Linked DNA regions of Mytilus edulis. The main gene of each other region encodes a partner of the protein of the gene in region 2 in a complex. Links are inferred from orthologs where the notes say so. Each region holds a gene or a part of one and is shown on either strand. Other genes may lie near its edges. The genes, in order: vacuolar fusion protein MON1 homolog A-like, regulator of MON1-CCZ1 complex-like and vacuolar fusion protein CCZ1 homolog.

Region 1 (6,960 bases), about 32 Mb from region 2:
AAAATAACCCTTTCTTTGGCCATTGTGGACTAATATTTAATGTTTAACAAAAAATATAATGTACATGTACATGTAGTACTAGTACATAAATATTTTGAATGTCCAATGTAAACATACAAATTTTGTTTACATTTTGTAACTGGAGCTAAAATTTTGTATAACTCGAGCTACATGTACAATGGTAGTCGAACTGTTGTACATCAATTCTTACCTTAACTCTTGCATGTTGAATTATACTTTGAGCAATGCTATCTCTAACGGGGCTATCTAAAGGCAGACATCGTACTGCTTGAAGTTTAAAACTAGGGTCATGGTCCATTAAATTCAATAGATTGTCAATAAATTTTTCGGATCCACTCAACATTCTCCGCAAATCATAATTTCTCCTCTGTTTGAAGATTTTTTGTAATGAAGTAAATGTAAGTACACTAAGAATTTGATTATAAATATATGATAGTTGTAGTACAAGTTGTTGGACTGATTCCAATCCTTTTGATACCGCAACAAGGTAAATATGTTCTCGAACTAAGAACACAAACTTATGATCTCCAGCAACAATACTACGCATTGAGTCTTTAGCTGCAGACACAAATGATATCAAAGCTTGAAGAACTCCCATAATTGTCACCAGTTTATCTTCCTGACCATGCCTGTATAAATAAAACTTTCAATATGAATTTTAATGTGAAGATATTAATCTTATAGCACTAATTAAATACATAATCATTGATAATACGAAAATACACAAAATTACACAGAAATATAATATGCTAGATGGTTGTAAAAATTCTTAACAAGACAATTTTCAGATATTTCTTTTCAAATGCTGTACAAACATTTCACTTGCAGAAAATAAAGATTTTTAAAGTCTTTATTTTGAACTTTTTACATGGGAAGTTCGGGACCCTGGAAAGCCATAGAATAGAATGAACAGATATTAATTGACAGCAAGTTTTTAAAATGTCTGAATACAACAGAAAATTTTATATACTTTGTAATAATACATGTTATCAGGTTAGAAAATCATTGGGACTTGTCATTTTTGCCATGGCGAGTATTAAAGTGTGAAAATCAAATTTTATTGCTATAAAATTTTTTTTTTAATTTCTCCATGACAAAAAAGCAAGGAAATGAAAATAACTTTGGATTATTTTGAAACCAATTTAGTGTTAAACTCTTTCTCTTCCCCTAATGTGATGATCCCTCCATGTTGATACAGATAACTTTTATCTATTGCTAAATCATTTGAACAGAAAAAAACATGCATATAACAATAAATTTTCTGATTTATATCCTATCTATAAAATATCTATTACCGTGAGTAAATAGGCTTTCCAGAACTACTTAGTATAAAAATATGCTTCTTTTCCAGTTGCCACTTGGACCCTTTTCCATACTCATCTTCTTCAATTTCTTCTATAGGGTCAGACTCTTTCAAAACCACATCATTCAAAGCTGCAGATAAATCTTTTGGAATCTAGTAAAAAACATGAAAAATAAGAAGGATTAGCTTATTTAACTGTATTGGTACATTTTGTACAGGTATGTATACATTCATCTGTCTTTGACAAATGTTTGCACACAAAGGTATTGGATAAGACCACTTCATTTTTATTTTGACAATTACTTTTTTCCACTATCATCATGATTATTGTAAATTTAGATGACAGAAATCATTGTGAGGTTTTCATAAATGGGAATAATGTGATTGAATGAGTATCACAATAATAAACCTCACATTCTGATATCTAAAAGTACAACTGTATGCAGATTTTCCTGAAACTGCAACAAATAATCTTGCATTTTAGTCCATTCTTCATAATTTTTTGCAATAATAAATGCACTCAATAATTTCTGCAATTTTTAGGCATTACACTTATCTGTAAAAATACATAGACTTTCTACCCATTGCCAATTTTCAAAAGAATTTCATTGATTTGCATATATAGTTTAATTATAAGTTACACCACTGTGAAAATGATAAACCAAAAAAAAAAAAACAATATCAAAATGGGAATGTGTCCATGGGACAAAGATGAACCACTAAAAAAAAAACGGTTAAAGTGACGCTATCAATTTGTAAAAGAGTATAACTCTAGAACGGTTGAAGTACCACCCGAATACTGCCTTGATTTATACTTCAATAAGCTTTGTGTAAATGTTTCATAGCATTTGCCAAATTAGTTGTGGCAAACTTAAGTTAGAGACAGAATAAAAAAACAATTTTTTCATTTGTAAAGGGGCATAACTCTAGAAAAATAAAAGTGCCACCCCCAAAATAAAAACTTTATCTGTATTTTGTGGTAATTAGTTTCATAACATTTGTTTGAGGCAATCTAAAGTAAGAGAACGGAAACAAACTTTGGAACGTACAGACAGATGTAATTATGGACGTTCAGTTGGACAAGGGTAGAACTTTAAAATGCCCCCCTCCGCTATGGCACTGCACTGTATAGTCCAAGAACATCAGAATAATCTCGGACTATGCCCTGTATTATGTGTATTGATACAAAATGTATGTTTTTGTTTTAAATGTGGTATTATAGTATACATCAAGAACAGTTGTAAGTTTGGCATTAAAATCTTAAAATCGTTTTGGAACTCATGGTCTTGGAACCAACAGATATTACATGTATATCTGATCATTTATAAACAGGAACATTGTTTTGGACCTAATGGACTTAAAAATTGTGGCTGTACACAAATATTAATATTTCGTGACATGAGATGATAATGACCTCATTGTGATCTTCACTTGATTCTTCACCAGTGGATGTGTCATTGTGTTCTGAGGAACTGTGTTCGTCCTGAGATCCAGAACGAACAATGGCGTGAATGACACCACTTGGATGGCTGTCATAATCTTCGTTGACCAGATCGTCGTAATTTATATCCACAAAGGTATCTGCTGCCACAAGAACTGCGTTCTTTATTTCTTCTGATGCAGGTTCTACAAAATCGTCTTGATCAGAAGCAGAAGCGGAGTCTGGATTTCGCACTGAAGGGGGCACCTGTTCCGCCTCTTTGCCCTCTGACTCGTCCATAGCCAGGGTTCATTATTTGAGATCACCGAAAATGACTTCCGGTTTATAAAATATTTTTGATGTTGTATGCTTTAAATCTGTAACATAGTTTACAGTGTTTGCAAAACTTCTGATTTGTCATATAAATACATTCTTGATATTCGAGAGTCTCAATAAACTTTTTCAAAGAATGGCATATCATTATTCTAAATATAAGGGGAACAAGTGTTAGCTGTCCAAAAAGCTTGTCTGGCTTTAGCTTTCATGATTGTATAGACGTTACGCGCGATGTTCGTACATGTAAGCGTTACCGTAACACAACGTCCCGAATATGTCGTAACGTTCAAACCGAAAATTTGACTGAAACGTTGTTTTTAAGCAAGTGCGACATTCTTGTAAGAATCCGCAAAATCATCGACGGTGCTTTTTAACTACCCATCGAAAATTGATGTATTTTAGTTTCTTGAAAATTTAAGAAAAATAACATTTAAAAAAATCATAAAATTCTACCATTATAAGAGCAGTGATAAGCAAACAATTGACGTAAATTTGAGTTGAGTTCGTTTTTACGTCAGAAAATGGCGATGCGACAAACTTGTAAGCCTTTGAAAAATAGCTCATAAATTACCATATATCATTTTTCAGGATATTTGTCTTTAAATTCATAAAATTAAGCAAATTAACATTGATGTAGTAAATACAAATACTAAACTTTTTTCATTTTAGATAAATGTTTTTTGATTCTCAAATCTGGAATTCCAATTTTTTCCCCGCGGGACAGATTTGCCCTTGTAGTATGGAACGCGGTTTTTTCTATGACGTCATCATAACGTCATAAAAAAATGCATAAAAGACTGAAGGAACCATTCTGTTTAATTATGGAAAAAAAAAACGTTTTTCAAAATATTAAATAGTTTTGACCGCAAAATCATAGTTTAGACTAATAGTGGTTACAATAAATGAAATATGTTACGCGGGACAACCTAAAAATCGCCGTTTTTTTTAAATGAAGCTTGTCGCATGCAACATAAAACATAGTTTCAACAATTATTTGTTTCGTTTTTATTTTAAAAATCGTTATTTTTTAAAATACGTACAATAGCAATGAATATGATATCACACAATTATATATTTTGGACTTGCATCTTGCCAACTACACCGACTGAATTTCCAATGAGGTACGAATATCGTGCGTAACGTCATAGCAAAAACATTAGTTATATCTGGGACATACTTTACTAGTATACTAGTCCATGCTTTGAAGACTGCAGTAAAGGTTTGCTTAGAGTGTGGGTTAGATTGAGATTGTCTATTGGTATGCAAATGACATTATGTAACACATTATAAGAAATTAAGTTAGATCATAAGTGACATAATGTCGCAGTGACAACAGATAGCTTATGTTTGAAATTCTAAAAAGTTCGGCTTTGACGTAGGAGCATATTGTAAAATAATTCTTATAGTCCCCCAAAAAGGGCTTGTGTAAAGTAAGTCTTACTGTACAATCATTGCTAGTCAAGTTCCCCCCCCCCCCCCCCCCCAAAAAAAAAAAAAGACTGCTACTTCATACTAATTTGATCAAAGTTCTAAGTTCTTTTATTTTCCAATCAAGGCTCCCTGACGGGACATAATGACAACAATACACAATATATCACATTCATAACTACACATAAACATATTGATAAAAATAGAATTAAAATCTTACATTCATAACACATAAACATATTGATAAAAATAGAATTAAAATCATCACAAATAGTGGATGAGATTACCATGTCTATCATAGAATATATATGATACATATAATCTGGGAACAGTATATTTATGTTCCTGATATAATCATACAAAATATGATCACAACATAAAACATGTTACTTACAATTATATATTTTTTTTATAAATCAGTTAAGTTTTTTCTCGAGTTTTTTCAAAGTTTCATATCTTTAATATCATATACTGTTATTCCAGGATCATGAAATTTTTCTGTCTTTTAATGGTTGTTTCTTACATTGACGAGCTAACAATTATTGGAAACAATAAAACTTGTTTCACAATATTTGTGATTTTACTTATTTCTACTTGAACTTTTAATCTTGAACACATTGGAGTTGTATAGCTTATCATTTATACATATTTTATTTGTAACTAAAAACTACAATTGCATGCTTGAAAATTAAGTTATAGATATTTCATATCTTTAGGATAGTTTTGTGGTGTTTCGTAAAATATATCATAGCTTTTGTTGAAAGCCTCGGCCTTATTATACTTAAGTCTGCCTTCATAAGTTTAATAAAAACGGTATAGGTTAATGTTATGTTACTTTTTTAATTGAATTCAGACTAGTAAGTAAATGCTAGAAATTAATCATGAAAGATCACAGGAACGAATAATTTAAATTGTTTATAATATTATTGATACGCTGTTTAATGTTTTGTTTTGGGTTCTTAATGGTAATACATAAACCAATTGGGAAAACAATGATGTATTAATTATGCACAGTATAACTGTTACAAAAATCCGAAATGAAACAATTCGCAGTCATAGCAGGAAATTAACTTACATTTCTTCAAAAAAAAATAATAGCCGTCTGTTATATATATATTTTTAAGAGATTATTGTTTGGAGACCACTAAAAGAAAGTTTATCATTCAACTTATATATAATTTACACAATGATTTTATGATTAATGAAAAACGATAGATTTCAGTAATTTGTGGACCCACATTTTAGAGGGTCAAGATAATCGTGATAAATTTCAGGTATACATATATCCTTTACTTCCGATGTCATCATGGTGTAAATATAATTTATAATTTGTACAAATAGATACAATTAATACTTACTTTCATTGCATATATTTTGATACAGAAAAACCTTTATATTACCCGTATTTATTTCCTTTTTTGTGGTTTTTTTTTGGTAAACCAACTAAAACGTATTTTATCATTTACATGTAATCATTGTACAGTGGTTGTCGTCAGTTTATGTAGTTCATACGTGTTTATCGTTTCTCGTTTTTATATAGATTAGACCGTTGGTTTCCCGTTTTCGGAATGGAAAGGGTGACTGGGGAATAGAAGTATGATCACTTGATCTTCCTCCGACCGGCAGTAAAACGCTAGACAAAGTGGGGCGTCCGTTTGGCTGTGCGGGATGTATCAAGTTTGCAGCCATGTCGAGTCAGAATGGGGACGTTAAATCCGATGTCTCGTGTAAAGAGAGTGCCACGCTTTCTGCACGTTAAGAACCCTTGCAACACCTCTTTGAGGGGTCCGTAGGTGGCCTGTTGCAAGGCAAAATTTCTGTCCACTATACCCTCATTTCCCAGACCATCATCTCGGACGGCTTCTATTCAGTACAAGACCTACCTATTGTTTTTATTGTTAACCTGTTCTAGCCCTGACCATGCATGAAATATTTGCCACTGGACGTTAAGCAACCAGCAATCAATCAATAAACCGTTTGAATGGTTTTACACTAGTAATTTTTGGGGCCCTTTATAGCTTGCTGTTCGGTGTGAGCCAAGGCTCCGTGTTGAAGGCCGTGCCTTGACATATAATGGATTACTTTTATAAATTATTACTTGGATGGAGAGTTTTCTCATTGGCATTCATGCCACATTTTTATATACCTATATATTATACTAATATTCGACAAATATCCCATTCTTTCAACCTAGGCATCATTAAAAGTGTCTCTATCGACCCTTTCATATTACAACATCTGCTATACCACAGTAGAAACTCCCTGTTTCGGCCCTTCTTTACTTATAACGTAATTTCCAGCTGATATGATCCCTCCATAAAGGCACACAAATAGAGGATACCAAAGGGACATTCAAAGTCCGAGTCGAAAATAAACTGCCAACGACATGGCTAATAGACAAACAGACAAATAGACACACAGACACACAGACACACAGACACACAGACAAACA
Region 2 (7,487 bases):
TATACATTATACAGTTTTTATGTGTGAATGAGAAGTATTTAAAATGGAAAAAAGTGGTTTGCAATATTTTTTTATCTTTCAACATGTTTAAATCAGAATAAAAGGTTATTTCTGTTTTTGTACGCCCGTCTTTTAGACGGGACGTATTATGGTATACCGTTGTCCGTCCGTCGTCCACACTTCAGACAATAACTCAAAAACACTTTCACCAATTTTCATGAAACTTAAGTGAATTGTTTATATCTATTGACGTAAGCTCCCTTTCGTTTTTTTTTAATTTCAGATTTTAAGTTTTGGATTTATGGGGCTTTATTCATAAAAAAGGGGGGATTTTCAACACTTCGGACAATAACTCAAAAAGGCTTTCACCAATGTCTATGAAACTTTGGTGAATTGTTTATATCTATTGATGTAAGCTCCCTTTCAATTTTTATAAATTTCAGATTTTAAGTTTTGGATTTATGGGGCTTTATTCATAAAAAAAAAGGGGGGGGCTTATTATGTTCAGAACTTCAGATCTACACTACATTATTCTATTAAAAAAATTAAGGTAAAAGGTGGAATACGTATTCATGTTTGTTTGGTAACAATCAATGAAGTTGTACTTAATACATGTATGGCAAATTGAGAATATGTTGGTTTAAATAATCGTTTTGGATAATTGAAAACAGACTTAAGTTCTGAGTTTTCAAATGTATGTTTCGCATAACCATATACATTATACAGTTTTTATGTGTGAATGAGAAGTATTTAAAATGGAAAAAAGTGGTTTGCAATATTTTTTTATCTTTCAACATGTTTAAATCAGAATAAAAGGTTATTTCTGTTTTTGTACGCCCGTCTTTTAGACGGGACGTATTATGGTATACCGTTGTCCGTCCGTCGTCCACACTTCAGACAATAACTCAAAAACACTTTCACCAATTTTCATGAAACTTAAGTGAATTGTTTATATCTATTGACGTAAGCTCCCTTTCGTTTTTTTTTAATTTCAGATTTTAAGTTTTGGATTTATGGGGCTTTATTCATAAAAAGGGGGGATTTTCAACACTTCGGACAATAACTCAAAAAGGCTTTCACCAATGTCTATGAAACTTTGGTGAATTGTTTATATCTATTGATGTAAGCTCCCTTTCAATTTTTATAAATTTCAGATTTTAAGTTTTGGATTTATGGGGCTTTATTCATAAAAAAAAAAGGGGGGGGGGCTTATTATGTTCAGAACTTCAGATCTACACTACATTATTCTATTAAAAAAATTAAGGTAAAAGGTGGAATACGTATTCATGTTTGTTTGGTAACAATCAATGAAGTTGTACTTAATACATGTATGGCAAATTGAGAATATGTTGGTTTAAATAATCGTTTTGGATAATTGAAAACAGACTTAAGTTCTGAGTTTTCAAATGTATGTTTCGCATAACCATATACATTATACAGTTTTTATGTGTGAATGAGAAGTATTTAAAATGGAAAAAAGTGGTTTGCAATATTTTTTTATCTTTCAACATGTTTAAATCAGAATAAAAGGTTATTTCTGTTTTTGTACGCCCGTCTTTTAGACGGGACGTATTATGGTATACCGTTGTCCGTCCGTCGTCCACACTTCAGACAATAACTCAAAAACACTTTCACCAATTTTCATGAAACTTAAGTGAATTGTTTATATCTATTGACGTAAGCTCCCTTTCGTTTTTTTTTAATTTCAGATTTTAAGTTTTGGATTTATGGGGCTTTATTCATAAAAAAGGGGGGATTTTCAACACTTCGGACAATAACTCAAAAAGGCTTTCACCAATGTCTATGAAACTTTGGTGAATTGTTTATATCTATTGATGTAAGCTCCCTTTCAATTTTTATAAATTTCAGATTTTAAGTTTTGGATTTATGGGGCTTTATTCATAAAAAAAAGGGGAATTTTTTAACACTTCAGACAATAACTCAAAAAGGCTTTCACCAATGTCCATGAAACTTTGGTGAATTGTTTATATCTATTGATGTAACAAATAATACTTAATAAAATCTGATGAAAACATAAAATTTGTAAAATCTTTAGTTCAATTTAAAACATTAAATTTCTTGTAAAAAATAGATTCCATGAATGTCATACGTTTGTACTATTATTGAATGGTTGCAAGGATGAAAGCACATTAGCAGTCCCTGAGATACTAACTGTTCCCTGAGGCATATATCATTTTATGATAACATTTTTACTATCTAAGCTATGGATAAAAATCAAATACTGTTTTTGCATATAGGATGTTTTACTCTTGTTAAAATTGGTTGCAATTGAAATCACAAATGATACCTTAGCATTGCAGCTTTTTTATAGAGTTCGGTTTCGGTGGAAGGGTTGAGCGCAATAAAAAATGTTATAAAACATAACTAGTCTACAATAGCACATAATAAGTGAACAAGTGACAACATGAAAATCCTAACATGTGACTTAATATTCCTTAAATGTTAAAGGGTGTCATTTTATGAAAAAAATAAGGAAATCAAGTCTCCTAAACATTTATCAATATGATCATCTTGTGAATATTCTAAACAATAAAAGGTAATAATCATTATCCACCATATTAAGCACCATTTGAACAACTTTTGCATACATCTTTGTATAATTTAGTATGGATTCCTTACTGTGTTCAACAGAATCTAACTATGAGCAATATACCCAAAGAAAATTACCTTCTTTCAAACTACTATAAAATTAGTAAATCAGCCATAGAATTACTAAAACCCATAATCATATATCACTTTCCTTATATTGCATTGAAGACTTCTATGTTATATGCCAATGTTAATGATATTTGTTTTTTATGCTAAATATTGAAAAGCTGAACTAGGTTTAATCATCAGTGTCTTCTTCACTGTAATCACTGTCCTCATCATCAGAAAATCCTCATTTTCATTCTCAGAAGAGGCCTCCTCATCATCAATGAAATCTTTATCTTCATCATCAATGAAATCCTTACTTTCATCACCTACTTCCTCATTTAGATCATAACTTTCAGTAGAGTCACTTTCACCATCTTCACTTTTCCTGTTATCTTCTTGCTGCTCCTCATTGTCATTGTAGTCTTTTTTGCCATTTTTATACGCCCGTCGTCTTTCAAACAACGGGCGTAATCATGCGCTAAAGCGCAGCCCTTTATTGCTGTTATCAGCCATAAAGATAAATAGTCCATTTATCAAAATGCAAACTACCTAAATGTTAAAAAATCTAAATTTTACTCATGATTAGGAAGAAGCTTTAGTAAAAAATTCCTTAGGATGCAACATACTTTCTTAAACAATAGACAAGTAGCTGTACAATATGACATGCTCTTAATCATCAAGAGTTAATTATAGTTGCGAATATATTTAGGGAAACCAAAGTGATTGCCCCCTTCCACCTAACTTTTTGTCAAGTTTTGTCTAGCCTGCAATGAAAACTGCTGATATGTAGGTGTTGCCTTTTTCAGCGTTTTTAGCGGCAGCCTCAATTATTGTTAAGATTTTTTGGGTTAATCGGTTTTAAATGAGCTTTTTGTAGATCAATGCTATTTTCTATATATTGTATTACTATCAGATATATTGTCATGGTCCAGTGACTTTGAAATGATAAGCAATGTTGTATGTGCTGTTAATCAGATTGTCTTTTTTATGACCCATTTATGGGCATTATGTTTTCTGGTCTTTGCATCCATTTGTTCGTTTGTTCGTCTGTCCTGCTTCAGGTTAAACATTTTGGTCGAGGTAGTTTTTGATGAAGTTGAAATCCAATCAACTTGAAACTTAGTAAACATGTTCTTTCTAATTTTAATGCCAAATTAGAGATTTCATCCCATTTTCACGGTTGACTGAACATAGAAAATGATAGTGCAGATGGGGCATCCGTGTACTTGGGACACATTCTTGTTTTAAATTGTATTTCAACATATCTCTGTGTCAATAGGTTTTTTTTCTATTGCAAATAAGAAACATAAAATGATAGGGGACACTTTTTTTGGCAGGGTGCCTTTCTAGAGTTATGTCACTTTATGACTTTTTTATTCCACTCTAACTTAAGTTAGCATTCTGAAATTATTATGATCTGAGATTACTATAACGTTATAGTAGTCTTAGTTATGATACTCCACTCACACATAAAAGCTAAGAACCATAACAGATCATAACAGGCAGATAGAGTAAGAATTAGGAAGTTATTTATATGATAGAATATATTCATTTGTATTGTGTCCTATACCATGTTATTTTATTATTATCTATTTAATTGTCAGGATATGCATTTACAAAATCCTTCTTCTCTCCCCTGCCCGCCCAAATCTTATTATTCTCATCTTAATTAACCTTACTTTAAATTGTTCAAAGAAAACACAAATAAAATGTGTATGATAAACAGTACTATTTAAATAAAGGATAGAGATGTCTGTTCGAACGCACCTGTAATAGACTTTCGGAATCTCTCTTGACTTTTGGTGAAGACAGTGAAAACAGAAGAGATGCAAAAATGGCACAACAAAACGATGGGTGTTTTTACATCGAACTTTGTAAAAACCCTATTCGATTCGACCCAGTTGATAAAGTCACAAACGTATTCTATGACGACGCTAATAGACAGGTGAATGTACAACCACAGGCACTAGACGTTCTGTCAATAGCATGAAAATATTGGCAATGGGAAGAAAATAGTGTCCATATATATATATTATATATATGGACACTATTTTCTTCCCATTGCCAATATTTTCATGCTATTGACAGAACGTCTAGTGCCTGTGGTACAACTAGAATGTTGTCTTTGAAGGCCACACACTCTGATTTGTCATAGCTTAGAAAATGACTTTGTAACTTCATTTGAATCCCTTCATTTCAACACTTGTCTGCAAGGCTTCAGAGACATATTTTTGTGTACACATTTGTATATGTGTCTGGTACCTTGATTCAGTGTTGTTTCAACCAATGACAGTCTTGTCTACCCTTTGTCATTGAAATCATGTTTTTATTTCAAACTTTCCATTTAGTCGCACCGAAGTCATGGCAAAATATTCAGTTTGTTGATCATGGCCAAACCGCCATTATCCTGTCAGGTTGGGATTTGCTTATTTTACGTAAACATGGTAATGTGTTAATAGTTTAAATGATAGAAGAATTCTAAATTTGTGCTCTTTTGCGTATATTTCCTGTTAGAAAGTTCATTTATGTTATAAGGTCTCGATAAGAATCCATTGTTCAATGATGTCATATATCATATACACAGATTGACCCAGGTCCTAAAAAACTTGATATTGGTGTATATAAATTGCTATTTTGGAATCTGTGACACTATTGTGATGTCAGAATTTTACAGTAACCTTTGTGATGTCCAGTAATTGCGGACAAATTGTGTTTAGGTATATTTTGACGTCTGAAGGCTATTTTTTTTTTGCTGTGATGCCACATGAACATCATGAAGGCGATTGTAAGCTTACTTTTCTGGAGGACTACATTGATACCTCAACCTTTCACTTTACAGAACCTACCATATTAATTGATGATTTGTTCTCATTCTGATCATTCGTGAAATATTTGCTACTGGACTAAAGCAAACAACAATCAATCTATCAATCCTTTTATTTATACTTGTACTAAGTATGGATATAAGAAGATGTTGTACATGTATGAGTGCAAAAGGGACTGTATTGTGGAAAAAAATATTACTTTAGTTATGTTGTCTTTGCCATCAACCATTGTCAACAGATGATATTAGTAAATATTATGAATGTTTTACAAGGACAACAGAAGCCAGAAAGAATACCCTTTATTTATATGTCAAATAACTTAATACAATGTACATGAAATGGATAACAGAAATCCCTGACATTCAACATTGTGTATTCAATCTTTTTTTCTAACTACAGAACAAACTCCTTCACCTAACTCAAATTCCTCAGAATAAATAGATTTCAAAGACAAAACAACAACAATAACACATGGTTCAGATAGCCTTACTTTGTACAGGCTCTAATGTGGTGGGGTGAAACAGTGTTGCATACACACAAACCACCCCTTTATCTATGTAGATTCTTGACCATATGTTGTAAAACTAAAACACATATCGTAATAAAAACTGCTCACATCAAAAACCAACAGGATGACCTCTTGCTAAGAATTAAAAAAAGCCATAACATAATTTGGAAAGATGAGTCAGGTTGAATGTCTATTTGTATACTAGTACATGTAATAGATAACTCTGTCTGAATTTGTTTATATGTGACCACTTACAAGGAAATAAAAAGCCTGGACATAACTTGAAAAGCTGGAACAAATATTAATTGAATACCTATTTGTAGGATTACACATGGTCTTCTTCAAAGAGATAACCTTTAATTTTTTACATGCAAAATAATGATTGATCAGAGGCAAAAGAACATAGAATTTATATTACACTATGAATTAAAACATTTTGTTTATATCTCACAAAAAAAAAGGGAAAGGGGGTTAATTGATTTTTTTCCATTGAGTGATTTATGTATGTTGTAGGTATTTGCAGTACGTTCCTGTGGAGCTATGGGGGTGGTGGTTAAAGGACCAAACGATAGCAACTCTCTTACTTTCAGGTTGTACATTTGTACCGTACATTATATTTGAAAGAAATTTGAAATTATGATTTAATTTGCTAATTTTATATACATGTATTGTTATTCAAATTATTGTCTGATAAGATCATCACTTGTCTGAATTTGCTATCCAATACATACATGAAGCAAAACTTTATCCTGCAATATACCAGAAGATAAGTGCTTAACCATGTTAACTTACTGTTCTTTATTTTGAAAGTCACTAACATTTTTGTCTTGTTCTGAACATGACGAGCAATTTGAGAAATATAACTTCAAGAATGACCAACTTATCTAATCAGATAAGGACAAGGTAGGATAAGGCCTGATTTTGGCCTCCCTATTTTCTAATTTTTATATTTTTGCGGTCGTATATTGGTATCACGTCGTCGTCAGCGTCATCCAAAGACGGATGGTTTCCGGATAATAACTTTAGTATAAGTAAATAGAAATCAATAAAATTTTACCACAATGTTTGTAACCTCAAAGGGAAGGTTGGGATTGATCTTTAGGGTTATGGTCCCATCGGTTTAGGAATTAGGGGCCCAAAACATACATTTATCTAGTTTCAGGTCAATAAGTTGTGTATAAGTATTTCAATTACCCTGAAATTGTACCACAATGTTCATACCATTAATTAGAAGGTTGGGATATATTTTAAGGGTTATGGGGCAAACAGTCTAGGAATTATTGGCCAAAAACAAGCATTTTTGAAGTTTTGGGGTAATAACATGTTTAACTGTATGGATCTCTCTGACATTGTACCACAAGGTTCCATATAAAGAAGGGAAGGCTTGGTGTCAGTTTGGAGTTTATATCCCTGAATATTTAGGAATAAGGGGCCCAAAAAGAATCATTTTTGTAGTTTACAGACAATAGCTTGTGTTGAAGGGTATGAATCTCTCT
Region 3 (7,838 bases), on a different chromosome or scaffold from region 2:
TATGAGATGTTGTTTCGATGGGTCTTTGCTGATTTTTGTCATAAATTGTAACTCATAGCAATACAAAAACAGGTCCACAATAAGTGGTGCACAGTTAGTCCCCATTGGAATTCCAATAACCATACGATATATAGAATCTTCAAAGCGAACAAAAATGTTATCTAGTAAAAATTCAAGGGCATATATAGTATCAAAGCATGTCCAATTGACATAGTTTTTTTGTTTATTGCTACTAAAAAATGACCTAAAAGAGTTTGAACATATATATTCACATTCTGACTTTTTAAATGCCCATTTAATTAGGTGGGTGAATTTTTTCTTAATGAGAATGTGAGGCAATGTGGTATACAGGGTAGAAAAATCAAAACTTTGAACAGATTCAAAATCACCAATATAAGCATGCAATTTATCAAGTACTTCCAACGAGTTCTTGACACTCCAAAAGTAATTAATTCCACTATTTTCGAAGGCCTTATTTGAACAATTTATTATCAGGTTTTTGATTGTACCAAGTGTACTGGTAAGAAGAATAGACAATTTAGTAGTGGAACAATGGCTTGAAGACGAAATAAATCTATATTTGTAAGGTGTTTTGTGTAGCTTCGGAAGCCAATACATAGTAGGGACTTTCATTGTATTCAGTTCTGCTTGTAAAGGGGTAGCTAAAAGTTTATGTTTGTTACAGATGTCGATTTCTGAAAATGGAGTCAGTTGGAATGTTGGTGAATTGGTAATTTCTTTTTTCAGAACCTCAATGTAAAATTTACGTCAAACAATAACAATATTATTAGCAGCTTTATCGGCCGGGAAAAAAACAAATTCCTTGGCTAGTTCTTTTAGTTTATGTTTGATACGAGAATTAGGTTTATTGTGGTTATTGTTAATAATAAAATGTTCTTTAAAATGTTGAATATGTATATCAACTATGTTCATTACTGAATTAAAGAAAGAGTCCAAAGATTTTTTGTCAGCTTTTTCCCGTTTTATCCATTTCAAACAGTAAGTACGGAGTGAGTCGTGGATGATATTACGAAATTCATTCCAATTAATAACTGACGGGGGACGATATTTAGGTCCTTTACTGAGGAATGATTTTAACTCTCAGTCTTGAACGATATTAAGATCTCCTGTTATAACATGGGAAATGGGTCCATAAATGTATGTGGAATTACTACAATTACATGAAGTAGGTGTATTTTCACTGATATTAGCGGCTAGTTTAAGAAAGTTATTAAAATTTTAAAAACTTTAATGACAGAGTGAATGTAATGTTTCCTGGCAGAAAAACTAAGTCCATTTAAAGTAAAATACGGAAAAACAGGATTTTTTTTTACAAAATTTACTTCTGGATACTATCTTAAGATCATAAACAAGCTTCTGTCCAAGTTTGGTAGAAATCCAGGCCAGTTTAAGGAGGTTATTAAAACTTAAAAAACTTTAACCACAGAGTGAAAGTAATGTTTCCTTGCAGAAAAATTAAGTCCATTTATAAGTAAAATACGGAAAAACAGGAATCTTTAACCACAGAGTGAATATTTGTGAACGCCGCCACCGCCGACACCAACAGAATGTAGGAAAGCTATATCTCACTTTTTCGACATAAGTCGAAGGCTCAACAAAAATATATACAACCTGGTAGTAAAAGATAAAGTTAGAGTTTGTAGTTTTATATGAAAATTTGCAATGACATCTATAAAGAAAACAATGAAAGTATATAAGTTCCATTAGTAACAAGATAATATTTTACAACAGGGATATAGTTGTCATAAATTGGTTAAAAATTTACCTCATTTTATCACAGATACAAATGCATAGTAATTCATTGAGGAAGAATTAATCCACTTACAGGTATTCAACAAAACACACATGTACATGTAACATTTCAAACCCATCATTTTCCTTTTCTGTTATTTATGCAGCTTAACAATTAGGAGTTGTCTATTAATTATTTAATTTGGCTTAAATAAAAGACTGATACTAAGAGTATCATTTATCATTGCACCCGAAATTTCTAAGGAATGAACATCAATTTGCTACATGTAGTTAAAGTTTGACAGACCAAAAACAGTTCTAACTTTAACTTCATCATTGAAATTCTGTTCAAATATTTTGTGGCATTGTGTCTTCCTGTTTCTGCTTATGATGCTGATATCAATTTGTCATATATATATACATGTAAATACCTTTATCTTTGACTTTCTTCTCTATCTCAGCAAAAGCCTGGTCAACAGAATTATCATCTGTTATATCAAGTTTTATTATCTGTATACTACTGTACTCTGATCTAAGTTGACTGGCTCCTTTACCATCTGGATTATAACACCCAGCAAACACAGACAATCCTTCTCCTGATAAACGACGAGCCACAGCATTCCCAAAACCTTTTAAGATAAAGTTACCAAAAAAACAAGATAAAAACTCTTTTCTCAATGCTTTCAAAATAACAACCAAATCCTGAAAGTTTGGAATAACTTCATGACACCACTTTTGAGTTCGCCTTAATTTACTAACATGAAGAGGAGAAATACATACAGTAATTTATAGTATCCTTTGAATTTGGTTTAAATGTTATTTTTTATCAGTAACAATTTTAATGTTCATAAGGCACAATATTAAGCAATTGATCATAATTACTTTTACTTTACTTTAGTCTGTACTGTTCCGTCTATATTAGACGACCAACTTTTCAGTGTGAATATCATTAAAATTGTCATTTAATTCAATGCACTAGTTGTATGTTATACCATATTACCATAAGAATTATTATAATTCTAAAATACAAGTATGGTCCAAATCTACCTGATATTACTTAAGTTTGAAAAGTCAATAACCAGAGACTATCAACCCATCTTCTTTTGCTCTGCATTGAATGGATCCCATATATCCTTTGTCATGTTTGTTTTCCTATTACATTATTACCTGTATCACAACCAGTTATAAAGACATATTTTTCCTCTGTGTTTATTCGTCTGAAGGTAAGTTTCTGATACACTACATTTAGTATAATGAGAAAAGCCACAAACAGTATTGTTTTGGCTATGAATGGTTGGACTATAATGAATGGTAGCACTGCCAATACTCCCAGATAAGTCAGTTCAAAAGCCTGGAATCCTATGAACTTCTTGATTCCCATTCCTAAGTAACTTCTTATGCTGTCCATTCTGATAGCTTGTAGCTTATACTGCTCTCTGTAATTAATCAATACACATGTTTAACAACTGCAGAATGAGTTTTCTTAGAATTGATCTGTTTAATCTTACTGAAGCACACAATGTATTTAATTTTTGAATAATTAGCATTGACTAGCGAAAGCTAAAAAAATTCCAACTGCACTGCACAGCACAGAGTAATTTTGTAGGTGTACCAACAGTCATGTTTGTCCATTTGTTATACATTTTAATGAACACTGTAAAGGTTCATCAAAAGAAATTGAAAATGGCTGCGTTAACATCACAAAATCTACTATGAATACAGACAAACTGATGCATCTAGGAACGTTTTAAGGCATGGCAGGACCTAGATATATAAAAGTTATAAGTAGTCTATGTTTCAGAAAATTAAAAACTTTTACCTGGATTTTGATGTGCCTTTTTTTACAGTCTGCAGAAGATAGCAAAATAAACAAACACACAAGTTTCATTCGATACAGTCAACTCAGTTACACAGTTTAAATCACCTCTTGTTTGCAATGTCTATTGTCCATCTATTGTCCATTTAGATCAATACTACATACAACTTTGATTATATGAGAGGAGATTCTCAAACTTTTCCCAAACTTAGTTTATTTTTGCACCTTTTTCAGGAATGAAAAAACTGAATAGCAAAATCCATAAAAGGTTATAATTTTCTGAAACATAAAATGCATAACCTGACGGTACCCAAATTGCACCTATTTTGACAGTTTTTTCTCCTACGTTTTTTTATGATCAAGACAAAAATGTCCACTCTGTGTTTATTTTGTAGCTGTATCCTTCTTTATTATAAAAGTACACCAATTTGATTTTTAATCCATATTGAGTCATAGGTTTGAATCGACCTCCAAACTATTCATGATTTCGTAATGAGGAGTACCCAAATTGCATCCATGCTTAAATTTACATCATTAAAAATCGAATAACAAATGTTTTGTTTTATTTTTTCAATTATTTAGAACAATTGGATATTAGTCCATATTTAGTCTTATTTTTTTAAGAAATGGATACTTGTAACATATTGTTTTTGTTAATTTAAAAAAGATGACGTTTTAATGATGTCGCATGGCGACGTTTCCGTACATTTTGCTTTTTCAGTAAACACTTCATCTGTTGATAAATACTGTGAACGTTTTGTGTATATCTAAATATCTTTACATATGTTGAAAGACGTGCATAGTATCAAATCATAAAAATGCAAATTGTTTAGTCTCTAGGAAATCTTGTAAGATATCCACTGATATTTTTTCTAAATAGGTGCAATTTGGGTATCCTGCCATGCCTTAAAACTTCTCCGGGTGGAAAGGTTTGTCTGTACTTAGAGTTAAATTTAGGGTGTAAATACTGACATATATTTTAGCAAAAAGGTTATGATGAACTGAGCTAACAAAGAAATGTTAAAATATTTGCATTCCAATACAAAGAATTATGACGTCTTATAGTATAATGATGTTCATAACTCTATGAAACTTGAATATTTCATATTTCATTCTATGAAAATTGTGTTTTTGATAGTTATGTAAATACTTTACATTTTTACAAAATAATCACCCTATGATGGCCTATCGTCCTCAATATCGAACCATACAAAGTGCCAAGTGAAAGTAGCCGGAAATAGACTAGAAAAGGACTTCCTGTTAAATCGAAAGTAGAGTTGTGAAGTAGGAGTAAACTTTGAAGTCTGCTAGGCTAGAAAATGACTTTCATCAGAGGCATTAATGATTTTGACAATTGTATTTTCTGGATCACAAACCTGCATTAATTAATGCATGAATATTTTAACGAGAAACAAGAAATTTCCACTTCATGTTGTTGCAACAGTGATAAGTTGTCAAACATTTTTACTAAGCATAGTCAAAGGCCAACTAGTAGAAAATCAAGCGACCAAGAAATAAAACATAACAGCACACCAAATCATAACAAAAGCATGGCTGTTAAAGGAGGAATAAGCCTGATTAATTTCTTTGTATTCAATTCAGAATATGGACCAAGAGAGGGTGATGTAAGTTTATACAAAGTACAAGGTATTGTGCCTTGGTTATTTAAGAATATACACTCTTTTGATAATTCATATTCTTAGCTGAGACTCCATATAAAAAACAAAAATGAAATGTGCAGAATATATGTACCAATATTGAGAATAAGACCTGGGCATATAAAATAGAAGATGTGGTATGATTGTCAATGAGACAACTGCAGTCCACAGGAGACCAAATGACACAGACATTAACAACTCACCCTTCACCCTAATTCAAGTCACCCTAGTATCTGTTCACCCTTATTCTATTTCATTTTGATGTCTTGGTATACATAATTTATATAATTTGAATACACTATGTTAATGTAAGTTGCATAAAAAACTATAAACTTAAAAATTTCGCATTTACATGTAGAGTGTGTCCTACTTATTTGACTTTCTCAGTTTATCAACACTAAAAGTTAAAATTTTCCATGTTTTATTTTAAAACCATGGCAATGATTTCTTAGATAAAAAAAAATGATATGTCAAGAATTGCCACTCAAACATTGTCAAACAGAACTTTTTGATAATGCTAAAATGTTTATTTCAGGAAGAGAAAAAGATCATGTATTACTATCCAAAGAATGACCATATAGATACTAAGATAAAACAAATTGGACTGTGTGAAGCTATCTGCAAGTTTACTGAGTAAGTACATTTTGAATTGTTATTTTTTTTTAAATATCTGAAGCAATTACACATGTAGGCTTGCATTTTTGCATGTCTCTTCTGCTTAAAAAAATTATGATTAGGTTAAATATTGAAGAATGATGATCAGACATACATGTTTGATTACCATACAACTTTTGACCCTTATCCAATACCTTGAACAAACTTTTTCTAGAATTTCCAATAGGTTGAAGAAGTTTTCTATTGATTTTGATTTTGGTATCACTAGGTCAAAGGGTAAGTGATAGAATGAAATTTGGACAAATTCTGGTTTCCTACCATATGTCCAAACTTCATTAATTTATTTAAAAATGACCTTTTCAAAGAATAAGACCTCTAGATTACAAGGTTCAGATCAAGGTCATGGTCACAACACCTACAAATAGACTGCCAATTTTGGCAAAGGTTTGATAACTGGGCAATACATTTCAATCCATGAATCAGATGTTTACTATTTTTCATTGGATTTTGGGGTGAAAAAGATCCATGTTGATTTTAGGGTCACTTGACCAAGATAAAGATCACAGCAGTGATTAAAAGACTGAAATTTAGGTGCATTTTAAGTGTTTGCCATTGATATAGTCCTCTAAACCCTACATCTAATCTTGACCAAAGTTAGTCTTGTAATTTCCACTAAGAAGGAAACAAATCTGGGAAAAGGTTTGTTTCCTAACAAAATCTTTTGACCTATAAATCAGATCCTTACCAAAGCATGTATCAAAATATGATGCAATCAAAATATGATTTAATATGGCAAACTGAGCTTAATAATGATTTCAGAGGCAATAAACTATATGGTAACAAGCTCAGAACTTATAGACTTTTTAAAAGCAGATTTTGCTTAGAAAATTACCTTTTGCAGGAAAATTTTAGATATAGACATTATTTAACAAAATTCCATATCAGTGCTCACGATTTAGAGATTGAGAGAGGAAGGTACAAAAATATGACAGTGTCAGAACGTATCTGTAAATTGTGCGGTACTGAGGTTGAGGATGAAATTCATTTTCTTCTTCAGTGCCACAAACTTTCAAATATTCGTTTCAACTTTTTAAATGAAATAAAACAACGGTTTAAAAATTTTAGTGGTTTAGATATTAAATCACAATTTATTTGGCTAATGTCCTCTGAAGATACTTTCATACTCCAGAAACTCGGAGAATTATTGGAAAATTTATCCTCATATAGGAAAGTTTCCTTAAATGATATATAGATATAGAAATGCCCAGTGACCCTCCTTATATTATTAAACACTGTGCTTGTTGTATTCTTGTACTTGTCTTAATAAATATTTTTTGGTTTGGTTGTTTTTTTGGGTTTTTTTATAACATTGTGTCTTAATCATATAGAATCACTTGTAATCATTCGTATGTAATTAATGTTGATTGTTCTGCTCCTTGTGGGCGCTTTGATTAGCAATAAAATATATTTGAAATTTGTATTTTTTGCTTCCTCAACAAAGAAGACAGCATTTGAATTTGAGGTCAACATGTTAATACATATACTATAAGGACTTCAAAATTGTGTTAACAAATTAAATAAATTTACAGTTGATTATAAAATGACAGTTAACACAAAAAAGACCAAGGTTCTTGTATTTAACAAATCAGGAAGACTTAAAAATATTAAAATTTCATCAGGAAACCAGACTTTAGAATGTGTACAGAACTACACATACTTAGGTATAAATTTTTCATCATCTGGGAGTTTCCAAATAGCAAAGAAAGAACTTTATAACAAAGGAATGAAAGCATATTTCAAATTAAGGAAGACCTTTTCAGTGGAAATCCCAAAACCTAGTACTTCATTACACATCTATTACCATATAATCCGACCAATCTTGTTGTATGGATCTGAAATTTGGGGTTATATACCACATAAGAAACAAATACATTTGGATAACTTTATATCAAAAGAAACTGATTATCTTGTACTAGAGAAAATTCATACTAAGCTTT

The links.
Region 1: the proteins of regulator of MON1-CCZ1 complex-like (region 2) and vacuolar fusion protein MON1 homolog A-like are in contact, whole or in part, in a cryo-EM structure (PDB 8JBE), measured with the Drosophila melanogaster proteins. The link is inferred for Mytilus edulis from reciprocal best matches to the Drosophila melanogaster genes Bulli and Mon1. Residues at the interface, in NP_648047.2 of Drosophila melanogaster: Ile561, Arg565, Lys568, Asp590, Leu592, His595, Ser596, Arg599, Phe600, Met603, Phe631, Pro632; in NP_608868.1 of Drosophila melanogaster: Pro416, Glu417, Arg419, His438, Pro439, Glu445, Arg448, Met473, Lys474, Glu475, Arg476, Glu494, Pro495, Val496.
Region 3: the proteins of regulator of MON1-CCZ1 complex-like (region 2) and vacuolar fusion protein CCZ1 homolog are in contact, whole or in part, in a cryo-EM structure (PDB 8JBE), measured with the Drosophila melanogaster proteins. The link is inferred for Mytilus edulis from reciprocal best matches to the Drosophila melanogaster genes Bulli and Ccz1. Residues at the interface, in NP_648047.2 of Drosophila melanogaster: Tyr395, Gly397, Phe407, Tyr464, Ser467, Met470, Leu471, Gln474, Asn477, Asn498, Arg499, Asp502, Thr503, Arg505, Arg506, Leu507, Tyr510, Met512, Asp530, Thr531, Ala532, Gln535, Ile538, Asp539, Arg543, His547, Ile550, Lys559, Asp562, Leu566; in NP_647835.1 of Drosophila melanogaster: Tyr188, Leu189, Pro190, Leu191, Asp192, Lys193, Thr194, Phe196, Leu197, Arg198, Gln200, Asn201, Glu207, Val223, Leu224, Cys225, Gly226, Lys228, Tyr342, Asn385, Gln387, Ser388, Pro427, Ala428, Asn447, Tyr448, Arg449, Asp479, Phe483, Lys485.

Annotation. Positions count from the first base shown.
Region 1 is NC_092344.1:78,429,727-78,436,686, forward strand, and holds the start of vacuolar fusion protein MON1 homolog A-like, read right to left. Parts: upstream 3,084-6,960; 5' UTR 3,045-3,083; coding exon 2,739-3,044; intron 1,478-2,738; coding exon 1,317-1,477; intron 651-1,316; coding exon 212-650; intron 1-211. UniProt on the Drosophila melanogaster protein: Part of the Mon1-Ccz1 guanyl-nucleotide exchange factor complex specific for Rab7 that promotes the exchange of GDP to GTP, converting Rab7 from an inactive GDP-bound form into an active GTP-bound form.
Region 2 is NC_092344.1:110,107,985-110,115,471, forward strand, and holds the start of regulator of MON1-CCZ1 complex-like, read left to right. Parts: upstream 1-4,450; 5' UTR 4,451-4,492; coding exon 4,493-4,603; intron 4,604-6,504; coding exon 6,505-6,581; intron 6,582-7,487. UniProt on the Drosophila melanogaster protein: Positive regulator of the Rab7 guanyl-nucleotide exchange activity of the Mon1-Ccz1 complex, possibly by enhancing its endosomal membrane association.
Region 3 is NC_092352.1:32,880,710-32,888,547, reverse strand, and holds the start of vacuolar fusion protein CCZ1 homolog, read left to right. Parts: upstream 1-4,807; 5' UTR 4,808-4,956; coding exon 4,957-5,193; intron 5,194-5,761; coding exon 5,762-5,859; intron 5,860-7,838. Other genes in the region: short-chain dehydrogenase/reductase family 9C member 7-like, read right to left, coding at 2,184-2,381, 2,920-3,160. UniProt on the Drosophila melanogaster protein: Part of the Mon1-Ccz1 guanyl-nucleotide exchange factor complex specific for Rab7 that promotes the exchange of GDP to GTP, converting Rab7 from an inactive GDP-bound form into an active GTP-bound form.